Diceros bicornis minor: one gene and its partner. Each later gene encodes a partner of the first gene's protein in a complex. Links are inferred from orthologs where the notes say so. Each region holds a gene or a part of one and is shown in the gene's direction. Other genes may lie near its edges.

The links.
Region 2: PHF10 (region 1) and SMARCD3 share a complex: the UniProt entries of both Homo sapiens proteins name them as parts of the neural progenitors-specific chromatin remodeling complex. The link is inferred for Diceros bicornis minor from reciprocal best matches to the Homo sapiens genes PHF10 and SMARCD3.

What each region holds. Positions count from the first base shown.
Region 1 is NC_080778.1:2,203,444-2,211,123, forward strand, and holds the start of PHF10 (PHD finger protein 10), read left to right. Parts: upstream 1-4,044; 5' UTR 4,045-4,070; coding exon 4,071-4,157; intron 4,158-6,991; coding exon 6,992-7,098; intron 7,099-7,680. UniProt on the Homo sapiens protein: Involved in transcription activity regulation by chromatin remodeling. Belongs to the neural progenitors-specific chromatin remodeling complex (npBAF complex) and is required for the proliferation of neural progenitors.
Region 2 is NC_080742.1:96,903,645-96,911,546, reverse strand, and holds the start of SMARCD3 (SWI/SNF-related matrix-associated actin-dependent regulator of chromatin subfamily D member 3), read left to right. Parts: upstream 1-4,512; 5' UTR 4,513-4,645; coding exon 4,646-4,723; intron 4,724-7,584; coding exon 7,585-7,796; intron 7,797-7,902. UniProt on the Homo sapiens protein: Involved in transcriptional activation and repression of select genes by chromatin remodeling (alteration of DNA-nucleosome topology).

The sequences.
Region 1 (7,680 bases):
TAACATGTATACATGGGAGAAAGCAGGAACACTGCGTTTCTCAACACAATAGCAGAAATTCTCGTCTTAAATATCTTTTTCAGCCAATGACAAAGGAGGATTTTGGCGGTGGGGGGAGTCAGTTACAGGAGATTACCACTAAAGCACAGTAAACAAGAGTAAGGTTTATTATGTAGCTCAAGGCCTCACCTTCCACATTGACAAGTCACTAGAAATGCGCTCATCCCCCTCTCTTCTCCAAACAGAGAGGGAGATACCTTTACAAGTGGAGATTTCCCTTATAAATGTAAATGATTGTCTGGCAACTCTTCGCAGGGTCATCCAGAGAATGTGGCCAGAGAGACAGAACCTCTGATAAGAGGGGCTTGTTGGTGCCTTTCCTATTCTAACATTTACCCTACGTTATCTTTACAGCCATCATGATAGATCTATTCCAGGAAGGAGCTACCATGTCAAATTCTTTAGGCAGTTAGTGGGGGAGGTCAAATGTCCTCAGAGAAAACAACCAAGGTAAAGAGATAGATTTCAGGGTGGCCAAATCTTCATCTCCCACACTAATTACCCCCACACTGCTAAATACAATGGACATATCTCTGTCTTCCTGGTACTCAACTTCTCAATCAACATAGTTGACTGGTTCCCTTTCTGAAACACTCTATCCTCTCAGTTTACAATACTTGACACTTCCTTCTCCTTCTCTACCTATTTCCACAAGTATCTCTAGACTTCTTGGTCTGGGGCCTTTTTCTCACCTTTATCTCCATATTCTAAGTGGTCTCACACAGAGACCATGGCTTATGGCTTTTTCTCTTCACCACTGTATTGCCAGTGCCTAACTCAGGGCCTAACAATAAATAATAAGGTAGTATTTGACGAAAAAATGAATAAATCATTCCTTAAATTATTCCTTGTATTTCTATCACCTAACAGTTCTTAGCTCATAGTTCATTTCCATGAACTATTTGTGAAATAATTGAATGGACATGATTATTATTGTTAAAAAACAAAATTTAACCAAGTAAATTTGAAGATCTAATTGGCTTTATTAGGCAATTCATGAATCAGGCAGTATCCCCTCTAGCAACTAGAAGAGTACTTTGAAGAGTTGTACAAAATGAAAGGTTTTTTATACTTATAGGAAGAAGGGTGGGGCAAGTGAAGGGAAGGTACCTGGAAACTGTTTTATCTTGCAGATTGCCTCTTCTTCCTCTGGGGGGGATGGGGGATGGAGAGGGCCCAAGTGGCAGATGATCTCATTGGTGCTGATCAAAAAATTCTAGACTGGCCAATTAAGATGACATTTCTAGGTTTGTATCATAGGCTTTGGCACATGTGACACTGTTTTGGGCCTGTGGTTTTCCTTTTAATATTCTAATCCTACAAACGAGGAATCGGAGAGGGTCAGAGAGATTGAATAATTTCCCCTGGTCACACAGCTAATAAGTGGCGCAGCTGGTATTCAAACCCAAGTCTTAACTCCAAATGTTTCTTCTCACCATTACATCATACTGCCTCCCTGCATATTTCATCCCTAACTCCTAGAATCTGCCTTCATTAACTCTATTCTCAAGCCAAACTGGAGTGATCGACGTACCTGAACATGTCTCCTATTTTCCCACCTCTCAATCTTTTTCATGCTTGAAATCCTATTTCCACTTCCAGTTGTACATTTACCTGTAGCTATTCTACTAGTATCTTAAGATAGTTTTCAAATTCTGTGTCAACCTTAAAATCTTAAATTTTCTAGTTGCAAGTGAATTTTCTCCCACCTAAACCACTTTTAAATACAATTGTAATTTGTATCATATTCTTTCAACATTGAAACTGCCTACAGGGAGGAATTGTAATCCACATAGTGCTGCCTTAATATTCTGCCTTCCTTGCATGTTGAAAGGCTGAGTCAGTCTTTGTTGACTTGGAATGAAGAGTTTTAAATTTGTACTTGATCTAGAGACAGAATGCCTGAGGGAAATGAGTAGAACCAAATAACTGAACATATATATTATATATTCTTAACATTAAACTCTATCCAGAGAATCTGACTAAGGGCCTTGATCAGTTAAGAGAATTTGGCGGAAAAATGTTGATTCTTCTTGTTGGGTTCACATGGGCCATTTTCTTCAGTGGGCTCTTGTTAGGGAAATGGGCAGCTGGTCTGACTGAGGATGCAAAAGAAAGCAAAGTCTAAAAAGGAGCAACTTGGGAATCTTAAGTTGTTGGTGATGCCATTGCTGATCTGATGCAAGTGGGAAACTCAGGATAGGGTGGCCTGGGAGAGTCAAATTAGGTCGTTTGTATTAATGTGATGAGCTAGAAATAATCCCTGTGTTTGATCTTTCCAAACTTGTGTCTGCTGAGTGTGAGCAAAAAAAATGAATGAAAAGGAAGCCATACACTAAATCCAAGAACATTCTCTATTGCCTGAAACAAGTCATAGACACTCTCAGATAATAAAGTGTCTGCGGAGAGGTCAACTTTAATGACTTTCTGGCACCCTTGTCATCTTACTACAGCCATCTGCCATGTGTTCTTTTAAGGTTCAGTTCCTAACTTTTTATTTTTGGTGAAGTCCTAGAAGTGACCAGGTGAAGCCTAAGAACTAGGATTAAGAGTAAATTCAATTCAATAAACAGCTCCCTTTTTCTTTTGTGGGCCTACCATTGTTCTATGCTCTTTACAACAATCCTGAAGATTCAGGATCTCCCCATTTTACGGATGAGAAAAGAGGAGTCAAGGCTGTGCGGAGTCAGAATATGACTGGAGGTCAGTATGGTCCCCAAATGTTCTGTTGCCACTTGTCTTTCCTGCTGTTGATCAGCCTGGGAAGCCTTCCATGCAGCCTTCTCAGAACACCTCTCTTTCTCTCTCCGCGCTATCTTACTGTCTTCGGTGGAAGCTGCTGCATAAATTACATTCCGACACACAGAATCCTAAGCATGCAAGTTGAATTTCAGCTACTTTTACATTTTAAGATTTCGGCACGCTCTGAGGCGGATGTAGAAAAACTTTGCAAATGAAAGCAGCGGCGGATGTCATTGGGAAGTACTCATCCCATGGCAGGTAGCTCAGGAGCTCCAGAGGGCGGGAGGCCGCGAGCAGAGAACAAAGGCTGGCGAGGGGCGGCGACTGCGGACCGGGAACACGAGGAAATGGGCCAGGGCCCTCACAGCCCACCGTGACACAGCCACGGCGGGGGGAGACCCCCCAGGAATTAGGGCGAGGGGCGGGGGAGGGGACCCCCGGGAGAGAGGGGGCGGGGACCCTCAAGGAGGAGGAGGCGGAGGAGGGGACCCCCGGGAGGAGGGGCGAGGACCCTTGGGGAAGGGGCGGAGGAGGGGACCCCGGGAGGAGGGGGCGGAGGAAGGGACCCCTGGGAGGAGGGGCGGGGCTGGGCGCCGCGGGACGCTGTGGGAGGAGAGGGCTGACGTGCGGAGGGGCCGGGCCGGGGGCGCGGGGAGGGGGCGGCGGCGAGCTCGCCAAGTGGCGGCGGGCCGGGGCGGGGCTGGGGGCCGAGGGGAGCGGCGGGAGGTGGGGCTGCGGAGCGCGCCGGGTGCGGCGGGCCGGGGATCGCGCGGGGCTAAGGAGCGGCGGGCGGGCGCAGCCGAGGGGAGGCAGACGGCGGCGGAAGGGAGCCGAGGGCCGAGGGCGGCGGGGAGCCCAGGGGAGCGGAGCCGCCGAGGGCCGCGGGCGGCGGCGGCGGCGGCAGAGGGAGCGGCGGCGAGGGCAGCTGAGGGCCGCGGGGAGCGGCGGGCTGCGGCCGGCGCCGGGCGGGCGCGCTGAGGGTCGGCGGGGCGGGCGCGCCGAGGCCGCCGGCGTCCTCCTTCCGGCCCTCGGCCGCGGCGCGAGGCGGCGCGCTGGCGGCGGCCATGGCGGTGGCGGCGGCGCTGGCGGGCCGCGGGGCGCGCGGAGGCAGGGGCCGGCCCCCGGGCGGCGGGCGGGCGGAGGGGGCGGGGCCCGGGCGGCGGGCGGCCCGCGCGGCGGCGGCGGCGGCGGCGGCGGCGGCAGCGGCGGCGGCGGCCGGGACGAGACGGCGGCGGCGGCGGAGGCGGCGGCGCGGGGCGCTCGGGCTGATGGCGGCGGCGGCCGGCCCTGGGACGGCGCTGTCCCCGCGGCCGTGCGACAGCGAGCCGGCCACCCCCGGAGCGCAGTCCCCGAAGGTGAGGAGGCGCCGCTCGGCGGGAGGGGGTGGCGGGCGGGGGCCGCGCGGTTCCCGCCTCAGTCGCGCTGTGAGGACGCGCGCCGCGGGGCTGCGGAGGGCTGGACGCCGCCGGGAGGCGGGAGGAGGCTGAGGAGACCCCCCACGGGCCTCGGCCGGGTCGGGAGGCCCTCGGGGACAGCGCGAGGGCCCGGGCCGGTCAGCCCGGCGCTGTGAGGGTGGCCGGTGAGGAGCCGGCCTCCCCGTGTCCCCGCGTCCCGGGGTCCGGGCAGCTTCCCCAGAGCTCGCTCCAAGAAGCCAGTGGTGGGCTTCTTGTGGGCACACCACTTTCGCTGCAGACGGAAGGAGTCTCCTCTCCTTAGTCTAGGATGGTGTGTAGGTCTAGGACATCTTTCGTCTGAGGGGTGTCGGAGGGATGGGAACTCTTCTGAGCAAAGAGCATAAACAACTGGGGCAAACAAGATAGGTGTTCAGTCAGTGGACTCAGTTTATTACTAAGTTAATACACAGCCATTCTAATATTTTCAGTGAAACTTTAAAAAAAATTGTAGTTGGTACTGTTTTCAGAAGGTAGAAAGGACTTAGTGTTTCTGAAGTCGAAGATGAATGGAGAAAAACCAAGATGAGCAGTGGAATGTCATGCATTAAAACAGTTGTTTTTAAAGTTACTAGTTTGTGACGGAAGGTTGGAATGGAGGAGTGATTTCTAAAAACCTCAAAATTTGAATTGTCATTGAAAAGTTGAAAGTAGAAGATAATGGGAAGTAGAACACTTAAGACCCATCTCTTGCCTTGAGTGTGTTGACAGTAGGAACAAGTTCTTGTTGCCCTCCCACAAGACTGCTCCTGCCTTGTCCCTGTATCCTCTGTGCTGCACAATAAAGACTCTCCTTTCTGAGGGTTTCTCAAGTGCCCGAACCTATGCAAGTGACTGGGCTGTAAGGCTCTTAATCCCCACCATTGTGCTTCCAGAGTCAGTGCTGGGCCTGGCACGTGGGGAGCGCTCAGCGTACCTCCCCACTGCGTGTCTAGTGCAGGACTTATCTGAACCTCGTGGTGGATAGGAACCTGTCTAATCTGAAGGTGGGAACCACCTGTGACTCCCATTTAGTAGATCTGGCAGTCTTAAGTACGGACTTCTGTATCAGTATCGAAGGTACAAGCAAATTCCTTTAACTTAATTGTATTCTATCATAAGTTAGGAAAGATATTGCTGTTACATCTCTCTAGGAAAAGGTCAGCCAGCTAATGTTCAAATGCATTTGCCTAGAATTTGTAATAGCAGATTCAAAACACTGCGTATGAAATTGTGGTTTCAGCTTTTTTGAGGGCTTTGTGTTTTTAACTTTTTGTCTCTTTTCGATTTTTTTGCCGAGGGGAATATACTTAAATGAATTGACGTAAAAATCCTTAAAATGCTCAGAAGCCAGTAAAATAGAAAAAAATGATACTTGAATGCTTAGAAGGAGTTATGCCTGAAATATTGAAGATGAAATGTTTCAATTGTGATACTTATTGTTAAGTGTAAATTTTGGTGAAATAGATTTAGACTATTCTCTATCTCCTGTCTGGTTGCTTGTCTTAATAGGAACATACAGAGCTCTTTAATTGAATGCTTATTTTATAAGAACTGAAAAGGAGAATATTCTGTATATTTTACTATTTGGGAAGGAATCTGAGTAACTTCCTAACAGCTGGAGCCATTTGAAACTTTCTAAGTATCATCGTAATCATATTAACTAATTTTTATTGGGCACTTAATTATTTGCTAGGCCTTGCTCTAAGTGCTTCCCATTTATTAACTCATTTAATCCTTGCCTTAGCCAAGTAACACAGGCACTATTATCATCTCAGTTTTACAGATAAGGAGCAGCTCACAGAGGATAACTACTCAGCTAGTGAAGGGCAGTGCCCAGTAATATCCCAGGCAGTCCAGCTTTGGCGTGCCTGATGAGTATACCTTACTACCTCTTTATATTCTTCTGCAGGATTGCTTTCCTTTTAATATGTAGCAAGAGAACCATGGCAAAATTGTATTAGTCTTAGAAAGCTACGTTACCTTGACTTAAAAAAAATCTGCTTTTTTAAGGCTTATATTCATTAAGCTTTCGCTAAATAATATGTGAATAAATTAATTTCCTAACATTTTATACCTCATTTATTTCCTTAATGCAGTGGTCCACCTTACAGCCTTAATATTGTTACATAATGGATAAAGTCACTTAAAAAAATTTTAAGCCTCTCCTTTTTTTGGGGGAAGGTGTGTGTTGCTATATAGATTGATGATTCTTACTAGGATATAGTTCTGCTAAATTTTTGCAATGTAAGGAAAAAAATTTAACAGGATTGGTACCCTGTTTTTAGTTCTTGTATGTCCTCTTTTTACAGGGATATAAGTATCTAAAATAGCTGATTAGAATAGCCCTATAAGCCAGCTGTAAGTTGAGTTAAACACTAAATGATCCATACATTTTTTTCCTGGCTGGGGTAGGAGGGTTTGCTTTAATTTTAGAGTGTTCCAGCAATTTTATGTGTGTATTTAAAGCAGAAGGCGTTTTAACCTTGGTTGGTAAGAAAGCGAAAGTAGACTTAGATTTACAGGTTAATTGAAAATTTTCTTATTTTGATTGTTTTGAAGATCAGTTTTTAGTTTTTTCCAGGTCTTGCCCATGCTAAATTCTTGTCTCCTGTTAATTATAATAGAAAGTTAACATTTGCGTAACCAGTTGTCCTTAGAAAGCCTTTAAGTTGAGCTTCTTAGCAAGTTTGGGAAGATACATAATCATTCTTTTCTTATTTTTCTTTTATTATTTTTTGAATCTTTTAAATGTGTAGGATGATAATGAAGATAATTCAAATGATGGGACCCAGCCATCCAAAAGGAGGCGAATGGGCTCAGGCGATAGCTCTAGGAGTTGTGAAACTTCAAGTCAAGATCTTGGGTACTGTTATTTTATTGCTTAATAATATTTTTTGTGCTATGTTTCTCCTCTCTGCATTAGCTTCCTCCTCCCCTCCCCCCAGCCCTGGCAAAGGTAATTATAAATATTGTAGAGTATTTTTTGTGTTTTACAGTGTGACATCAAAGTTGCTTTTGCTATTCAGTGTCATTTTAAAAAATTTTCTTTTATTGCGGTAAAATACACATAAAATTTACCATTTTAACTATTTTTAAGTGTATAATTCAATGGCATTAATTACAGTCACAGTGTTGTGTACCCATCACCACCATCCATTTCCAAAACTTTGTCACTACTGCAAACAGAAATTCCGTAACCATTAAGCAATAAAAATTCCCATTTCCCCTTTTCCCAGCCCCTGGCAACCACCGGTCTACTTTCTGTCATTATGAATTTGCCTATTTTAGGTACCTCATATAAATGGAATCATACAATATTTGTCCTTTTGTGTCTGGCTTATTTCAGTTAGTGTAATTTCTTCAAAGTTCATGTTGTAGCATGTATTAGGATTTCCCTTCTCTTTAGGGCTGACTTAATACTCCATCATATGGATAGACTATGTTT
Region 2 (7,902 bases), on another chromosome or scaffold:
TGAGGAAGCTGAGGGGCAGGGAGGTCCAGCGAGGTGCCCAAGGTCACACAACTGTTTAGGTGTCCTACTTTTTCTTTGTTTTTTGCTTCTTTCTATCCTATTTGTCTCTCTTGTGTGCGTTTGCAAAACTGACACAGAAAGGTGAAGTCACAGAGAGACAGACTGCCCCCTCGATAGTAGCAGAGGGTGTCCCGGGCACGGAAACATTCTTGCACAAAGAGGGAGGTACGCAGCGCTACTCTGGCCTGGGAAGAGTAGTGAGGGTAGCCAGGAGGAGGAGGACTGTGCCACAAAGCCCTTGGTCTGGTCTGCCAATGTCCTGTCTGCTGGCTGGAGGAAGCCCCTCACTAGAGGTGGGGGTTAAGGTGCAGACTCCCCTCCACCCATCTCTGGTCTAGCCAGGGTTCCCTGGGGGCCTGGGACTTAGGCCAGGCAGGTAGGCTGGGTCAGAGCTGCCTCTGGGGCCCCTGGCATGCCCTGGGGTTTAGTGACCAAAGGAGAAGGTGGGGGCTGGGTTTAGGGATGCGCCAGAACATAGAAATCACTGGGTCCGCAGCCTGAGAGCTCCAGGTGGCCTCACTTGCTCGCTCGCTCGCTCGCTCGCTCGCTCGCTCTCTCGCTCTCTCTCTCTCTCTCTCTCCCCCTCTCTCCCTCTCTCTCTCACATACACACACACTCACACGCGATGTCTTTCTGCTAAGGAAGGCTTTATTGCTAGGGGTGTAGGGTGTAGGGAAAAGGGGCAGCGGGAAGAGGTCTCTCCCTTCAGTCTGGTTTCCTTTGTTCCTCCCTTGCCTTCCTCCCTCTCCCCTTCCAGCTTCCCTCCTCTCCTCCTAGCCGCCTTCTTCCATTCTCCCTCCCCCTCCTCCCCCCTCCCCCTGAGCCGGTCCCCGTAATGGGACCTCCACAGAAGGCGGGGAGGGTGGGACTCCGGGCTCCGGCCCCAGCCTCGGTGGCCGTCTTCCCGCAGGGAAGGAGTTAAGTCTCTTCGCTGCATCCCTCCTCCCTCCTCTGCCTCTCCCCGCCGCCTCTGAGTCCTGCAGCTAGGCCCTGGGCTGACCTTCACCGGGAGGGAGGCCGCAGTGCGCATGCCTGGGCCGGCTCCGGGCCGGCTCCCGCCGCTGTCCCGGGCCCCCGCGGGCGAGGGTGAGGGCGGGCGGCCGCGGGCCGGGACGTGCCCCCAGCGCTCGGGCGCGGTGATGGTGGGGGGAGGGGGCGCCGAGCCCATCCCGCTGGCCGCGGCGCATCTCTCCCTGCGCGGGGAGAGGCGCTTTGCCATTTGGTGCTGGTGGTGCTTCGGCGAGGGAAGAAGAGATGGGGGGACGGCAGGGGGGACTCCGGCTCCGGGCCTCCGGGCGGCCGCCCTGTGCCCGGACACGCGCACGGCCTGCCCGGAGCTCGACCTGGGCCAGTTGGCCGCGGCTAAGGGCCCGGTCCGGCCTGGAGGACAGCCCCTTGCCTGCTGGAATCGGGCTTTCCCTGGGCCTCCTTCCCACCGGCAGGAGCCAGCGGCATGGCACTGCTGAGCGCCCTTCTGGGGCTGAGACTTCGGGGTTCCTGGCCTGTGTGAGGTGGGAGTCCTGGTTGGGACATCCACACTGGCGCCTCTGCTTTCTAGTCTGAAGGGTCTCCTGTGTCCTTACACTTAGGGTTGCCCCCGTAAAAGCAGCATGCAAACCTGTCTGCTGGCGGGTGCCTTGTGAATTGGGCCTTGCAAGTGGGATGTGGAGGTGATCAGGGTGTGCCTGTGTGTGAAAATCTACGTGGCTCCTTGTCCCTTTGGCGTTTGCATTGGTGTGTGCCTTGGGGCGTGTATGCACTATATATCTGTTGTCTGTGCACACATAAGAATGTCTCCCAGAAAGGGGGCTGCAGGGGGAGGCCCTGGTCTTGGGGTGGCCCTGGAGGGGGTTATCTATAGATTTGAATGACTTGTGGGCTCCTCCTCAGGTACCACCAGAGCCTTTGGTCTAACCACCTCCTGCAATCTCCTCCACCACCAAGACCAGCCCCTCACAAATGCTGGGTGTTCCCACTGCCCTTCGTGCCCTTCCCTCAAACTTTTCAGCTGCCCAGTCTGGGGTGCCCATCCACCTCCTCTGCTGTCTTCTTTTCCCAAAAGGCCTCTCCAAGAGTTGAGAACTCTGAGCTTTACACAAAGCCTAGAGGTGACTGCCCCTGCCCAGTCCCCCAGAACCTCCAAGACCTGTGGGTTCATGTGTTCATGCTAGAAGCACCCATGGGGGGTGGGGTGCCCATGGTGACTCACACGTCCAGGTAAGTGTCAGAGCATGAGCTCGGTCCACTGGCCCACTGAGCTTTGGGTGGTTGCAAGCGTTAGCAGGCATTTGGTCATGTCAAGTCCCTGTGTCCAGGCATGAGGGGAGAGTGGGACTTAAAGACCGGTCTCTGACTTAAGGGAGCTGCAGCCTATTTGGGAAACCAAATCTAATATACGTGAACCACAGGGCACATCAGACATTAGTCAGTCAAGTGCCAATTCATGGTGCAGGGTGGATGGCAATGGGCATTTGGAGAAGAGAAAGACCTGTGCATAGGAGTGGGACCAGGAAGGCTTCCTGGGGGAGGTGGGGCGAGACATGGGCTTTAAAGGATGAATGTGATCTGGACAGGCAGAGGAGCAGTAGAGGGATTCCAGGCAAAAGAATAGCTGGAGCAGAGGCTTAGAAATGGGAATGAGTGACAGGTTTTAGAGGTTAGTGGACAAACTAGAGAGATTACCTCTCCAGGTTACCAGTAGCCACCTTCATGGCCTATGGCAACTGCCCACCCATCCCCACCCCACCAGGGCCCAGTCTCGGTATGTGTGGCTCTAGGGGGAAGCCTGGGTAGAGATTTAATAGGAATGGAATCTCTAGGTCCCCTGCTAAGCCGGCCGTAGAGGAGGGGTGTCCTGGACACACGTCCTCTCTGGCCTTTCAGGGGATTGACAGTGGGCACCTAAACGGACAATGACAGCCAGGTGCACAACCAGGGCCCAAGGGAGTCAGGCCGCAGGCAAAGAAGGATCCTGGAGCAGAACACTCCCTTGGTTCTTTGTCCCAACCTCTGAAGGCATTCTGAAACATTGAGGGTCAGGACTCCCCAGTGTAATGCTGGGTCTGCAGGGTTTAACTTCAAATAAGTTTTCCAACACATTCCCCCAGGCATCGCCCCATCCTCACCTAGATTCTGACAGTGCAGCCCCAGGAGGCCCATAAAGTTGACCCACTGTTGTCCCAAAGCCATGGGCCTCTCCTCCAGGAGGAGAGAGGGGTGTGGCCTTTGGAGGCATGGGCGGGGCCAGGGCTCCCAGCCTGGGGATCTCAGGATTTGCTCCTCCTGTTTCCTGTCCCTCCTGTACCCCAGGGACTGCCAGCTTCCTCTGCATTGCCCCTTCTGGGGCTCCCTCATAACCCCATAACCCTGCTTTCTTTGGGGTTTTGAGGCTGGCCCTACCATACCCAGCCGGCCCAGCTCCCCTGGTCTCCCACCACCAGCCCATTCCAAAGCCATCAGGGCCTGCTTGCCTCACTTCCTCCACCCATCCACCCAGGCACCCACCCCAGCTCCTTGCCTCCCCCATGTTTCTCTTCCTGCTCTTGCCAGCCCAATCCACCTCCCTCTTTCTGAAATACTTCCCCTATTGCCCTCACTTTCTCACATAGAGACAAACAAAGACACATACCCAGAAATAGACTCACACGGCGCTGGAAGACACAGGCCATGTCCTGCCACACACGCACCCGCACGCGCGCGCACGCACTAGAGGCTCTCGTGGAGGGAGGCACACAGAGAAGGCATTTGTCTGTGCACGCACATAAACATCCACACCCACAGCCACCGCGCCGTGCCCACACAAGGGTGCAGACACACACGGCGGGCGAGACAAGGGCGCACACATCTGTGGACGCAGGGGGACACCGCCTCGCTGGGCACACCCACCACTGCCGGCCTGGTGCAGGAGGAAGGCCTCCTCTGGGCTCCGGCTCCCCCCGGATTCCTTCCAGAGAATGTTTCCCTACTTGGCCTGCCAGGTCTCTGGGGAAAGGGCCTCAGAAATGCAGCAGGAGCCACTTGGGGGGAAAGTTGGAACTGACTGTTCCCTGCCTGGCCCTGCCGGCGAATTCTCTAACCGAGAAACTATTTGTGGCGAGAGCCCGGGTGGCCGGCGAGCCCCTCGCCACCTCCCCTCGCGTCCCCTCCCCGCGGCCCTCGGGCAGCCTCGGGCTGCAGTGGCGCTGCCCAGCGCCCAGGAGCCGGGCTTGCCGGCGTGCCTCGCTGCTTATCTGCGCTGTTTGGACAGCGAGGGTTGGAAAGGCAGGCTTTTCTGTCCCCGCCGAGTCAACAGGCAGACCCCGGGCCGCCGGACTATTTCTGTCTTATCAGTGCAGGAATGCGGCAGCCGCGGCGGCGGCGGCGGCGGCGGCGGCGGCGGCGGCGGCGGCGGCGGGCGGGCGGCGGCGGCGTGGGCCGTGGGCCGTCAGGGCAGCCCTGAAGGGGCCCCCTCCCCACTCCGCTCGAGTAGAAGTGTGAGAGAGCCCAGCAGGACTCAGAGGGGAGAGTTGGAGGAAAAAAAAAGGCAGAAAAGGGAAAGAAAGAGGAAGAGAGAGAGAGAGTGAGAGGAGCCGCTGAGCCCACCCCGATGGCCGCGGACGAAGTTGCCGGAGGGGCGCGCAAAGCCACGAAAAGCAAACTTTTTGAGTTTCTGGTCCATGGGGTGGTGAGTGGGGGAAAGTTAGCGGGGGAGGGTGAGGAGCTGGCTCGGGCTGAATGGAGGGATGATCGGGAGGGACCAGCAGGGGGGTCCCGCTCTCCCACCCCTCTAGCTGGGGGCGCCAGGGCCCGCGGCCCAGCGCCACCACCGTGCTGGCGCCCTGGCACCCGAACACGTCGTCAGGCGGCCGGCCAGGGATGGGTGTCCGGGCGGGGAAGGGAGGCGTTTGCATGGGTTCTTGTCAGGGGATGGGGGTGGGACTTGGGGACTGCCCCCTCAAGTGGGGGTCCCCTCGGTACCAGACATGTTGTCTTCCGTTCTTTTCCTTGTGGGCCCAGGTGTTACCCTTGCCCTAGGGTGGGGGTGGGGGACATGGCATCGGCTGGGCTGGGCTGTCTGTTCATCCATTGGGACAGTGTCTCTCTGATGGTGTCTTGGGAGCAAGGAGCAGGTGACCCTGGAGGCACTGTGAGCGGGAAGCTTTCTGGCTGAACAACCTCTGCATCCTGGCAGGAGGGCTCTGGGGCTTCACTGATGGACTCTGCCATCAGGGTCAGAGAGAGGCCTTCTCTAGGGACAGACCCCAAGTTAAGGGATCTGAGGATCCCCTTGGCAGACTCCGCCACCAGAAGCTGATGTCCTTAATGCCTCAAAGGTGTGAAGGAAGGGCTGGAGTCAGGTACACAAGGCCTAGAGACCAAAGGGGCAGGGCAGCACGTCCTGCCATGAGCAGACTTGGAAGGCATGCAGGGAGCCGAGGGAGCCCAGGACAACCTGCGGGGATGGGAGCTTCAAGCTGAGGCAACAGGGGCCAGGTTGGCAGGGATGTGGGGGGCAGTGGAATGGGAGAGGCAGGGGCTTCGGGACTTGGGATGGGTGCTGGGGTTGGAGCCGGGTATAGAGGAAGCAGTCAGGTTTACTATGGCCAAATTTGGTTGTGACCCCAAGGAAGGCATGTTCTCAGTGAGGGAGGCCAGAGTCCCTAGAATCTTGGCCCTTCATTGGTGGCTGGCACAGCTCTCTGGGGGCTCTGGGAGCCTCCCTCTCAGGGCCTCTTGTGCAGATCAGTGAGTATCGCTGTCCTTGATAAGTGGGAGAGCATCTGGTAGGGAAAAGGGGCTTCCCTGGGGCGGCCTGTCCTCCAGCCCCGGGGATCTCTGGGGTAACTTCCCAGGGGTGCCTGTGTCGGTCAGCCAAGTTTCCAGTCCTAACCTTGCTGCTTGGGGAAGTCCCTTTAAAAAGGCCCATCTAGGAGGGAGAGCGGCTATGCACATGGATTTTTTTATTTGGCCAACTTAGAGCTTCAGTTCTTGGGTGGCTGTGAGCCCCACTGCCCCACTCCCCGTGCCCCATATGTGCTCGTAGGGAGTGGCAGTGCCTGGGCTCCATTCTGGAGTGTGAGTGACAAGGTCAGGTGGGGTGGGGGAGGCCAACACGTGGGCAGGCAGGTTTCACTGTGGGAGAGATGGGCAGAGACAGCTGGCTGGCGGGGGGCGTGGGGGGGGGCATTGGTTAGGGTTAGACATAGTGCAGGGCAGGAGGGACAGGAGGGAGAGTTGGCAGTTAGAAGGGATTCACCAAGCTCAGGCTCCTCCTTGTGCCTGGGGGCAGCTGCACTTCTGGGGGTGCAGTGGGTGGTGTTTAAATGATAACAGGGTTACAGGGTCTGCATCCTTTGCTCCCTAATCTCCTTCCTGCTCTCCTGTCCCAGTCCCCATCTCACCCACCCTCCACTTTATAGCCCTCTGTCCTTCCCCAATCCCTCTTCTGGAATCTGGACAAGTAAGGTTTAAGAAGGCTATGGAACACTTCACTCAATGAACTTGCATCCCAGTGGCTAGGGACTACACCTGCTTGTCTCCCTCTCCATGGCCCCCTTTGGGCCCTGCCTGGGGTGGGGGTGGGAAGTAGAGAAAGTCTGTAGGATGGGACCATCTCTGGTGATCCAGGCAGACAGGAAGAGAGAGATGGATATAAGAGAAAATGCTGCTGCCTTTGACCTACACAAGCCCTCTGGGCAGCCCACCCCCAGCCCAGCTGTCCCTTGCCCTCCCAATCAGAGAATCCTGGCAGGGTCTGGCCTCAGCTCACTCAGGTTGCTGCCAGCCCTGCCTCCAGCCTTTACCTTGGGAGCAAATTATGGGAGTGGGCTAAGTCAGCAAAGCATCTAGGTATGGAGACTTGGAATCAGCCAAAGGGGGTGGGGGTTGGGACTAAGAGGGCAAAAGCTGGGGCCCAGGGAGAAGAGTAGGTTAAGATGGGAAGGGTGAGTGCAAGGCAGGACAGTCCAGGAAGTGGACTGGGAAGCAGGGAATGGGAAGAGGGGCGGCAGGAGTCGCAACAGGGACCTCAGCCCCTAACCTAGAGGAAGCAGCGGAGGGCAAAAACCCTTGGCCCCTCGGGAAACGACTGCTCAGTGGCTGCTTTTGCCAGGAGGAGCGGTGTGACCTTGGCTAGGTCGCTTTTCTCCTTGAGCCACAGTTGCCTCATCTGTCAAGTGGAGATGGAAGGACCCACTCAGTCTGTCTTGCAGAGGAGCATGTGAATGTGCACATTCTTTGAAAAGGTTGAAAAGGCGCCGTTAAATATTCATTTTCATGGTACCTTCCTCAAATCCGAGGCTGGCAATGCCCTGTGCAGTTGCCTGGCTTCAGTTAGCTTTCTGCAGCCAGACGCAAAGCCCCCTCCGCCAAAGCTGCGCGGTTCCGGCGCTCCTGCCCCTCCCACCCCTCGCTCACGCCGGCGGCATCAGGGTCACTGGCCGGGGGGCTTGGGGTGGGGGAGACGCGGCTCCCTGCTCCTGGAGCCGGGGCCCGTGGTCTGACCCGCGGGCGCCTGTTTCTGCTTCACTCCCGCCCCCCACCCAGCGCCCCGGGATGCCGTCTGGAGCCCGGATGCCCCACCAGGGGGCGCCCATGGGCCCCCCGGGCTCCCCGTACATGGGCAGCCCCGCCGTGCGACCTGGCCTGGCCCCCGCGGGCATGGAGCCCGCCCGCAAGCGAGCAGCGCCCCCGCCCGGCCAGAGCCAGGCCCAGAGCCAGGGCCAGCCGGTGCCCACCGCCCCCGCGAGGAGCCGCAGGTGAGTGGGGCCCAGCGCGGAGGGGGCGGGCCGAAGGACCCGCAGGGACAGGGTGGGCGAGGACCGAGATTGGAAAGGGCGAGGAAGAATGATCAGCAGGGAAGGA